Linked DNA regions of Xenopus tropicalis. The protein of the gene in region 3 interacts with the protein of the main gene of each other region in a biochemical or structural test. Links are inferred from orthologs where the notes say so. Each region holds a gene or a part of one and is shown on either strand. Other genes may lie near its edges.

What was found.
Region 1: the proteins of bmp7.1 (region 3) and acvr1 form a complex in vitro, tested with the Homo sapiens proteins (2 studies listed by BioGRID). The link is inferred for Xenopus tropicalis from reciprocal best matches to the Homo sapiens genes BMP7 and ACVR1.
Region 2: the proteins of bmp7.1 (region 3) and acvr2a are reported together in a solved structure, tested with the Homo sapiens proteins (2 studies listed by BioGRID, with this or other methods). The link is inferred for Xenopus tropicalis from reciprocal best matches to the Homo sapiens genes BMP7 and ACVR2A.

Annotation. Positions count from the first base shown.
Region 1 is NC_030685.2:73,923,090-73,926,741, forward strand, and holds part of acvr1 (activin receptor type-1 precursor), read left to right. Parts: intron 1-1,170; coding exon 1,171-1,317; intron 1,318-3,652. UniProt on the Homo sapiens protein: Bone morphogenetic protein (BMP) type I receptor that is involved in a wide variety of biological processes, including bone, heart, cartilage, nervous, and reproductive system development and regulation.
Region 2 is NC_030685.2:77,286,385-77,290,136, reverse strand, and holds the start of acvr2a (activin receptor type-2A), read left to right. Parts: upstream 1-1,056; 5' UTR 1,057-1,635; coding exon 1,636-1,690; intron 1,691-3,752. UniProt on the Homo sapiens protein: On ligand binding, forms a receptor complex consisting of two type II and two type I transmembrane serine/threonine kinases.
Region 3 is NC_030686.2:5,569,046-5,572,797, forward strand, and holds the start of bmp7.1 (bone morphogenetic protein 7), read left to right. Parts: upstream 1-1,123; 5' UTR 1,124-1,309; coding exon 1,310-1,706; intron 1,707-2,926; exon of another isoform or gene 2,927-2,947; intron 2,948-3,752. UniProt on the Homo sapiens protein: Growth factor of the TGF-beta superfamily that plays important role in various biological processes, including embryogenesis, hematopoiesis, neurogenesis and skeletal morphogenesis.

The DNA.
Region 1 (3,652 bases), on a different chromosome or scaffold from region 3:
CCAGAAAATCCCCTGCCATAGACAATACTCAGAATTGCCTCTGCTAAAACACACGTAGAGACAATTATCAGTAAATGATCAGCATTGTCTATTTTAGTAGCCACAACAAGTAGCTGCTACTAGTAGCTCTGTGTGTCTTCACCCTAACACCTTGTGATTTTTAAAGCACTAAAAAGAGAGAATTTCAATCATAGGTGACACAAAAATTTTTTTATGCAGATTAGGCTTTGTTTATGTATTTTTTGCTAAATCCCCAAATAATGAAGTCAGGGCATCCCTGTGTTTGGACGCGCCTAGCAGTTTGAGGACATTGCTGGAATATTTGGTGTGAGACCTTTTGGTGTGTTGCCACTAACTCCGATGTGCTATTGTGCTGGGATCAGTCAGCAGCCAATCACATTGTGTCGCAGCTAGTGTGTCGGCATTCTTGCTAGTGAGCGGGGCTTTGTGTAAGTCACAGTCTGGGCACGCTTGCAACATGACATTTGTACACTAGAAGCTGTGACAGTTGAATAGAAAGCATGATGTGACAGCCGACAGTTGAGAGTAAATGGATAGGAAGCAATGGCATAAATAGGAGTTACTGGTCCCCAAGATCATTTTGGGGCCCCATACACAATACCCACCGGGTAGTTTACTTCACAGGTTTCCAGCAGGCACAGGTTCTGGCTTCCTTTATAGCTACGTGCCAGGAAAAAGATACACGGCCATAAAGATACCCATACATGGCCGACCATGCCAGATCTAACAAGTGACATGTTTTCTCTTGTATTTGCCCTTTTGGGTGAAATTGAATTTACCCATCCTTTAAAGATGGAAAGGTATGAAAGGTGAAAATACACCCTTTTATATGTTGGTTTGGCCATCATTTTAATCTTTAAATGGTCTATAAAACTTTGGCCCAGCAAGCATTATTTATCTGCATATTTGCGTTTATTCTTTAGAGTGGAAGCAGCCATTGTTGGTCATGTGATTATTCCTTGCCCAGCGCCCTCTGCTGGCTGTGCGAAGTAGCACTTGCTCTGCTGAAACTGCAGTTTTCAGACATTCCCAGTAAACATAACGCGTGTTCCAAATGCAAAACTTGGCCTTTAGAACCTGGTGTGTTGCAAGTTGATGGCGCAATCTCTCCAATTTGTCCTATAAATTCTGTTCTTTCTCCCCATCCAGGAAAAGGGCGATACGGCGAAGTATGGCGGGGTCTCTGGCAAGGAGAAAGCGTCGCAGTGAAGATCTTTTCATCTCGAGACGAAAAATCCTGGTTCAGGGAGACGGAGCTGTACAACACTGTGTTACTGCGGCACGAGAATATTCTGGGTGAGATGTTGTGCCGTACTGCGCCGCGGAGCATGTTGGCACTTTATAAATACTTGATAGCGAGCACAGTTTTGCTGCAAGGGCTGATTTTTGGCCTCCTGAATGCTGGTAAATGTTCAGTTTGGGATGGCGAGGATTTAATTAGCAGAAGCCTGTCCTACATTCTCACCAGATGGCTCGAGCGGATGGGAATGCAAGACAGCTTCTTGTTTTAGTAACTGTTTGGTAGCAACTGCTGTCAGTGGAAAACTCCAGCCGCCCCGGCTCTCTTGTTTCTATTAAAGCGACAGTTTCTCTCTCTCTCTCTCTGTACGCCCCGGAGTAAAAGCGGCACGGAGGGAAATAAAGACGGCAGATAATCAATAGTGGGGTAATCAGGCCGTTTCCTGTTCGGGGCGGAATCGTTGCAATGAAATGCTTTTATAGAATAAACCAGTTCTGCTTTCTTTGTGCCAGACCCTAGGGGCGTCTGCGTTTTTTACATTCCCTGCCTTTGCAAACATTTCGGCACACTCATCTGTTTGGCGTTCTCGCCTGTGTAAACGTTTGGTCTTAATCTTAAACTGTGGTTTTAACCCCCTCCTGCCCAGCTCCTTTTGGAGCCCTTTGTAGTGCAGTGTGCAATATATAAACAGAAGAGCCGCATAAAGGGCAAAGGCATAGGTATGAATTCATCTCCGAGTTAAACACTCTAAAACTAGCCATGCTGGGCTGCTGTAACCCAAGTCGGCCTGTGCCGACGTCTCTAGAAGTACTGTGCACCAGGTGGAACAGAGTGGAAAGGCCAGGGTGTGCTGGTGAGTGTGGATTGGCTGTGTATGGTGCCTGCCCAGCCAGTGTATAGTCTGGAAGGTATATGTCAAGCAGCTTAGACATCCTGTTGAGCAAGGACTTCACTGGCAGTCCTTTCCCAACAGGTCTCCATAGGCCCCCGTTATGATCTGATGATCCCAATTTTGTGCTGTGCATAGGGGAACATCTGCTTGGTTGTAGGACCAGGTTAAAGGGATAGTGACTAATAGGAAGGTGTCGCTATTCCTATGCAAGCGCCCAGCACTAGTCCTGCATTCCCAAGCTGCCCTTTGCTTCTTATCTGTGTTCATCCCATACACTGCTTCCAGAACAGGGAAGTCATGGTTGACGTTGGCTTGGGGGGTGGAGCACAGTACTGATAGGCTGGAAAACAAATTTAAACGTTGCCTAAGCCTGTCATTGCTTTTGCTCCACCCCCTCCCATGCCTGACTCAATCACATCCCATTCCCCATTCTTGAATCTTGTGTTGGGAATTGGCAGAGGTGAGTAGCAGACGGCTGGGTGGGGAAGCAGGGAGCACCTTGTATATTAAGAGTGTTACCATCCCTTTAAGGTACATGGCTCCTGAGACATATTCTCCACCATTGTTTTTTAACTAGCGGAGAAATCTCTCATTTGCATTAATGGAAACTGCTTGTCACTACTGGTTTCTAATGACAGACGACTCCTGCTGGGTGAAGCCAATAATGGAGAATACGTCCCACAAAGGCACCTCTCTTGCGTTCACCATTGTGGATAACAGAACCTACACCTGTCACATGTTTATACAATGCATCTCTTCAGTTAGCCGTGTGTTATCCTGGCACCTCCTTTGCCCTCAGGGTGCAGGCAAATGTAGTTACTGACCCACAATATGGGTAGTGGGGACATAGAGAGGAAGTGGACACAGTGCCCAAGCCTATTCTTTCCTTGTTGTACACAGTATTGTTCTTTTTTACATAACTCTTATCTCATCATGTTGTTACCCCTGGAAACATATTATAAATCATTTGGTTGTTTCGGGTAAAACATTTCATGGGCAGGAACTCTGTCAGATCAAATGATATCTCTGTTAGGGCAGATGAGGAGATCTGCGGGGAGTTGGGAGATGATTGGGTTGCTGTACGGAGGGAAGGGTGCGCCTGTGATTCTCTCTCACTGTTTATTCAGGGGACGATGAACTGCTCTCCTTTAATGCAGTTCTGTTTCTTTAAGCCTCGTTTAGTAAACCATTGAGATCTCGTCCTTTTAAACTGCCTTTTGTTTCTGGATAATGCACATTCCAGTCACGCACTCCTTGTTTTATGTTTTTCCAGCCCATTTTAACTCAAACACCTTTCCCGTATGCGTCTGCATGTCCAGACAGAGGGCCGGGAAGCAAAAGCAGCGAGATTCCTATATTCCATAGATACCAAGGAAAAATACATTGGCTGCACCATGAAGTTCCCTATACGATATGGAATTTTGAATTCTCCCCTTTAATGTGTGTAAATGGAGTTTAAAGGACAAGGAAAAGCTTATGCCGGTTTCTTAGCTACCCCC
Region 2 (3,752 bases), on a different chromosome or scaffold from region 3:
CACGCCGCGGCGCTATTGGCTCCGCTATCCGCCAGTCACAGTGGGCGGTGCCGGGTTCTCTCAGGGCTGGCTGAGGGAGGGAAGGCGAGAAAACAAAAACAATCGGTGCGGGGGCCGCCATCTTGGGCCAGAGGGGGGGCAGCAATCCGCGCTGCTGAATGGGGAGAGATGAGATTAGCCCGGGAGGTGGCGGACGTTCAGACACGTTGCGCTGGAGCTGGCGGAGGGAGTAAAGGCGGGCAGTTACCGTCACGGAGCGGCTCCTTGCCGAGGCGTGAGTGAGGGACAGACCGACCGACTCTCTCATTCCTTGGGCGCTTGTACCGTAACGCCCGTGTTTGTATTGGATCCCGGGAAGCGGGGGGCTCGGATATATCCCCTCATCCCTGGCCATGGGAACTTCATGGGCACTTGGGTACCAGCTGGGCTAACCTTTCATTCTACCAGCCCTTTCCTATTAGTATTCCTGGGGCACCACCACTGGCACAGCTCAGGGGGGGCGAAATCCCTCATACCCCCCAAGTCTGGCACACCTGCCCCATCCCACCCTTTCCTGGCTGACCCTCATACCCCCCCATCTCTTCTCCCCATGGACACGTCCTGCTCTTCCTAAAGGTTCCACTTGGCTATCCGTAGCATTATATGGGGGACACCCTATGAACTCCTGTTCCCTGTGGTATAAACCCCCCCTAAAGTTTCTCTTTGGACTGGTCCATCTCTGCTCTCTGGGATAGATCCTAAAGATTCCTAATGGACGTCAGCTCTGCACTCTGGGGTAGATCCTAAAGATTCCTAATGGACGTCAGCTCTGCACTCTGGGGTAGATCCTAAAGATTCCTAATGGATGTCAGCTCTGCACTCTGGGGTAGATCCTAAAGATTCCTAATGGACGTCAACTCTGGGGTAGATCCTAAAGATTCCTAATGGACGTCAACTCTGGGGTAGATCCTAAAGATTCCTAAAGGACGTCAACTCTGGAGTAGATCCTAAAGATTCCTAAAGGACGTCAACTCTGCACTCTGGGGTAGATCCTGATGGACTGGTCCAACTCTGCACTCTGGGGTAGATCATCATCTCTATTAGGGTAGATTGTAAAGCTTCTCACTGGACATCGTTTCTACTCTCTGGGATTTATGCTAAGATTTCTCCATGGACACGAACAGCTTTCTCTGGGTTGGATCCTAAACAGACATATCCAGCATTCTCTGGGACAGAGCCTAAAGGTTCTTGGCTATATACATCTCTCTGGGGAACATCCTAAATATTCTTCATGGTCATATATAGATTTCTCTGGGATACATCCTAAAAGTTTGCCATTGATATTAACTGTTTAGATCCCTCCCCAGACTTCTTGATTTGTGATTCTCCCTTTATTATAATCTAGTTTTACTCTGGGATATATCTTTAAACCCCCCCCCCCCTCCCTCAGGCTTTCTGCTTTCTCTGGGATCGATCCTAAAGGCTTTCCATGGATATATGCTTTATCTGGGATAAATCCTTATTGCTTTATCTGGAATGGGCATAAACTGTTTTCTCTCGGATTGTTTCTAAAAAGATCTTTGCGGACGCCTGCTGCTTCCTCTGGGATAGGTCATTGGATTGTTAAAAAGGAACACAAACTGTAAAGGAAAAAACATGGGAGCTGCTACCAAGCTGGCCTTTGCAGTCTTTCTTATCTCCTGTTCCTCAGGTAAGACAGTCTCACACGTGTTTGTGGTTGGTCTAATAAAATGGCTGATACGCCAGTTAAATGTCAAATCCTTACGGGGATGTCTGTGTGTATGCACCGATTGCTTTGAACACAATCTGGCATTGTAAAAGTGACACTTTTAGCTGCCAGTTACCGCAGATGAGTTAGCATTATATTGGTTAGATCTGCAGTTACCTACGTAGTATCAGTTCACTTTAAACTACCTTTCATCTGTATCACGCAAGTCTCTTTAGTTTTATCATCATGGCAGTCTCCATAATCTGATTTTATTTCTTTCAAGTCGTTTTTGTGTATCTAGCTGTAAACGGCCTGCCTTTCTTTAAGGGGGAAACTAGGTAACACGAGAATCTTTAAACAAAATTTGCACTGTATGGGCAAGGTGTCTGCTCCGGGCACGGAATGGCAAGGCTGCAACTCGCCCGTAGCTAGTTGCGGGGTTGCAGAATGCTTAGCATTGCAGAATAATTTGCAAAGTAAGTGGTTTAGGCAGGTGGCAAGCCCTATACAGTTCGGCTCACTGATAGATGCATTGCCATGGCTGCTTTGTGCACACATCGCTGCAGGATTTCTTGCTATAGTTGTGTGATAATCAATCAACATCCACTCAGCCCTATGTACGCATTAATATTCCCATTGCAAGGTTTGTTCATTGCACTGTAGCTTTATTTGCTTTAAGCGAGTCGTCCCAATTAAATCTTGTATATAGGTGGGGGACAATGGATGACCTTCTTTATGTGCGACATTGGTTTTTAGGCATTAACTTATATGAACTGCAAAAAAAAAAAACCCTCTGGAATACAACAGTCTAGTGTATAACTAGATTTTATCTAGAAAAGCCTGGGGTGGTTAACCTAATAAGTGCCAGGGATTCTTTAAGGATATTTCCATTGATTGTGAAGCCATCTATCAAAAAGCATTAAATTCTTTCATTGCCAAAGGGGCAAACAAGCCTGTTCCAAGTCTGTCTGGCAGCAAAAGGATTAACTGGCTCCAGTGCCCTTCTGGACAGGCATACATAGTGTTTTTTTGGAGCAACCCTTGGGCTTTTTCAGCCTCTCAGACTTCCATAATCCTCGCAGATTTCCATTTTATTAAGAGGAGTGTGCTTTATCCAGCGCTGTCATTCAGCTGCTGACATTTACCTGAATTTGTATGTATCGCCCAGTCGCAGGCTCCTTTTATTTAACCAAGCACGAACTGAATCCCACTGTCTTTGCTTCAAGAGCTTTTACAGTTTAAACTGCTCGCGTCTTGGAACCGGTCAGATTCACGCTTAGACGGGAAGCTGCATTGATTTCCTCATTTATTTTCCCCCATTGTGTTGCGGACCTGTCAGGGTTTATGCCAACTTAGCAAATGGTGTGTTGCGCTTTGGAAAATCTGCTCACTTGTCCAGAGCTGAGCAATGAAAGGCCGTGTTGTTTGCGAACAGAAGAAACGTGAATGCTTAATGTCTGATTTATCTGTTCCTTCCAGCCAGTGGAACGTGTTCTGGTTCATTGGTGCAGAGTACGCTATAGAGTCGGACCATTCTCCGGCCTTTCAGATTTGATTTCACTCTCCAGTTGCTCCTGAGTTGCTTCGGTATTGTTCCCCAAAGTCAGACATTCAGCTTTATTTATAAAGCTTTCAGGTCTTCAAGGGCTCTGCTGAATGGATCTTTTTCCTTGTGGTTATTAAATAGGGGGAGAGTCTAGCCCTATGTCTGTAGTGGTATTGATTCAATGTGGGCAGATTGTGCTGTGAAATTGCATTTTCTGCCCAAGATTAACTCGATAAAAGACCAAATGCCACTTTTAAAAAATGTAATCACAAACATTTCGTCGTTCAATTTCGTTTTAAAGTATCACGTTGCTAAAGCTTATCAAAGGGTCACGTTTCAGATCTGTAAGATCTCGTAGTAATTAAGGGGAAAGACTTAAAGCAAATTAAACCTGAAATAAAGATGTAAACATTGGTAAGAGTTCTTCTCTGAAATATTGTGTGTTTTACATTTTTCATGTTTTAGTGGTTTCTTAGAAGCTTGCAGTTTTAGATTGCT
Region 3 (3,752 bases):
GTGGAAGGATAGGTTATCCCCCAAGTCATCATGGAGGGGCACATTTTGAGGTGATAATTTTGGGCTGTGGGCTGCTCGGTCCTGTTCTGTCGAGCGGTTGCACAATTCTGGGTGTCATTGTAGTTTAGCTGCCTCCGCTCCCTATAAATTTTATAGCAGTATAAATGCTCGTAAATGTGTGACATTATTACCTTAATACATGCATTAAAAGCACGTACGGAACTGGCCTCAAATCTTGGGATGAATAAAGTAAGCTCAAACTGAGTCTATTATATTTATTATAAGATAAAGAAACTTAACCTATGCCATCAAGGCCTTCTCTGTTTCAGTTGCACTAAAGGTGGCCATACACGTTAAGATCCGCTCGCTTGGTGAGGTCTAAGGGACCGATATCGGCAGCTACAGTCGGCCCGTGTATGGCCACCGTAACATCCAAATCATAGATGTGCTAAAGGCAAAATACTGTATACCAAGGACCCACTTATTTATAGATTGTAAGCTCTTTTGGGCAGGGCTCTCATCACCTTCTGTTTTTCTTATTGGTTACTGTGTATGTCCAATGTATGTAACCCACTTATTGTACAGCGCTGCGGGATATGTTGCCGCTTTATATGTTAATAATAATTCCTCATATTTAGATTGCAAGCTGTCAATGCAAGCATTCCATAATAGAGACAGCTTTGACTGCTAAACTTTCAGCAAATCACTGTGTGCATTATTAGCATCGATTCTGTTTATAGAATGTCCCAAACAGCCTTCCCTGTCGGAGAAAAGGAGGCTAGCCACATATGCCTGTGCCCTCCAGTTGAAATGATAATGAGACACAGACAGTCCTTAATCTGTTTACTTTCAATTACCAAATAGACAGTGGCCCACCCTTGTCTGTAGTCTTGCAAACATCCTGAAGCAACCTGATGGGATTCACAGTGCAGTTATTTCTTTCTCTCTGTTTATGCCCTCCTTCTTACTGCCTGCTCCTCCCACCACATTCAGTCTCCTGCTGGCTCCGTCTGCCTTCACAAGCCACTTAGACTTTGCTAGAGAGACAGAGAGGACAGATCAGACCCTACAGGGCAGAAAAAACAAGGATTAATCTGTATATCTGTCTTCCTTTGTCCTGTCGCCTGTTACAAAGTCTCACAATGACTGGGTTCAGCTGATGCAGAGGAAGCCTCCAGCTGTTCCAAGTTAGTGAGAACTTCAGCTGAGAGTTGGATGCACTGGTTTGATTTAATGCTCATTTATTGATGGTCTCCCCTTTGGAGAGAAGGGCAGGTGCTGTAGGTTTTGCCGTACAGATCCAAGGGAAATGAATGTTCTGCAAAAGAACAAAACGGGTTCTGTGCTCCTTTGGACATACTTCTTGTGGAGGATCATCCTGGCCGACTTCACCTTGGACAATGAGGTGCACTCTAGTTTTATCCAAAGGAGGTTGCGAGGCCAAGAGCGCAGGGAGATGCAGAGAGAGATTTTATCCATCCTGGGGCTGCCGCACAGACCCAGACCCCATTTGTATGGAAAGCAAAATTCTGCCCCTATGTTTATGCTGGATTTGTACAATGCTATGACAGTGGACGAAGAGGAAGCTGAAGGCTTCTCTTATCCATACAAGCCCATCTTTACCACCCAGGGGCCACCGCTGGCCAGCCAACAGGACAGCAACTTCCTCAATGACGCCGACATGGTTATGAGTTTTGTTAATCTAGGTGAGTACTGTTATCCCTTATCTCTTGCCTGGAGATGTCTTAACAGTTTGTTCTAGGTTCCAATAAACTTTCATATATGGCAGAAGTTTTATTGATTATACTATGATTTCAGTAACATTTTCCCATGCTTTACTGCAGAAACAGTCTCTGCAAACACAGGTTTTTAGCATTGCACGGAATTAGATTGTAAGCTTTTTACTTTTCCTTTACCCATTGGTGTCTGCTGGCTTTGAAGCTTTGCTTATTAGGAATGCAGTAGTCATATTTGGCAAAAGCACTTTGCTTGTAGTTTGTTTGGCGTGCCTTCCAGGGCATATTCTCAGGTGGAATGGTCTAGCTGCCTGCTACATCCGAGCAATTTCTTGGGATTGTACATGATCCGACAGGTCTGCGCACTTCTTTTGAAGTAGCAATTACTGTACAGAATAAGAAGAGAGCAGGAAATTCTGAGCCCAGCAGAGTTCAAAGCAGAACGCTCAGTGATTCACACTACGAAAATGAGCACAAATGGACTAGAGCCCTATTAGAGCGCTTAATAACATCCTTCAAACTGCATTGCTGCACCACCCTTTTACTGCTTGTGTCTTTGCAGCAAGGGATTCTCTAATGTGCCTTTTCAAGAAAGATGCATAAAGTAACTTGATTGCTGAAAGCTTAGTGCGTACACGGAACAGTCTCCCAGCATGGGGTTGTGCAAAGTGTTTCATTAAAGGGACAGACACACAAATATCTGTCCGTGTGATAAAATTCCAAATTATATATGTAGACACGTTTTAGACAGGTAAAAATACCCCGTAATATAGCACAGCCTACTAACTAGTATGAACTTCTAATCCCAGCGTTCCCAGTCGGCTATGTGCCGTCGGGGCAGTCAATCTTCATTGCACAGAAAGTTGCATCTGAATCTGCTTCCCTGTTTTCTGTAGATCAGTGGAAACCTTATGTCTTTAAATGATTGTGGGGTTTTGCCGCAGCGATAAAAAAACAGCTTGTGTTGTATAAACAGTGTTGTAATATTTGTTGTTTACATTGTTTTCTCTGTTATTGTTGTAATATCAACCCCCCCCCCTCGTAGGACGAACAACACTAGCAAACAGTCTAGAAGCAAGGGAACAAATATGAGGGCTTGATAAGACTACTAAGGCCAAATTTTCTGCTTAGGGAGAAGATGACTATCTTATGAAGGAGAAATAACCCGTAAAAATAAAATTTGTACAGACCTCTACCTCCCAAAAAAGTTAGTTGAACATCGCTGACAGGAGAGACATTGCGTTGAAACAGTAACTGAAAACCTTTCTGTAGTTCCATTGTTGATTCTTTGGGAACTTGGATTATTAGACTGTCAACACTAAGTAAGAGGGACGCAATCAGCCGGAGAAACAACCCTTTATTTCAAGCAGGTGTTCTCTTATCATAAATTACATTGTAAAATGCAGCATCTGTGATGGTTCCGCTAGCAGCCTATAATTTTAAGTTTAAGATTAGGGTGGCACAGAGTTAAGATGGCTGTACACACATACATGTGCTCAGTTGGTGGGATTGCCAAACAAGTAGATCTTTCACCCATTTTGCCACCCATGTACAGGGCAAAAGTAAGCTGATCTGGTCAGGGCCAACAATTGGATCCTAATGTAGGTCAATGCAGATCTTTTGAGGGAGAACCTCATCTATGAGCCAGTGATTCTGGTTTAGTGGGATTTACAAACCTGCTGGATAGATATCTGGCAGATTTTTAATAGGGATGCACTGAACCCAGTTTTTTGGGTTTGGCTGAATCCACCCCGATGGATTTGGCAAAATACCGAACCGAATCCTAATAATTAGGATCCATAAGGGGCAAAAATCCAATTAACCCTTCCAAATGCTAATTTGGCGAATCCGAACCCCGGTGAGAGAGGCTGAATCCTGGATTCGGTGCATCCCTAATTTTTGACCAGTTATCTGTTTGGCAGGCTTATAGAACAACCCGTGTATGGGTTGCTGAATGCTACACAAGCTAGGGGCCTGCCAGGTGAAGCCCATGTCCTGGCCCTTTTGCTCCAAGTA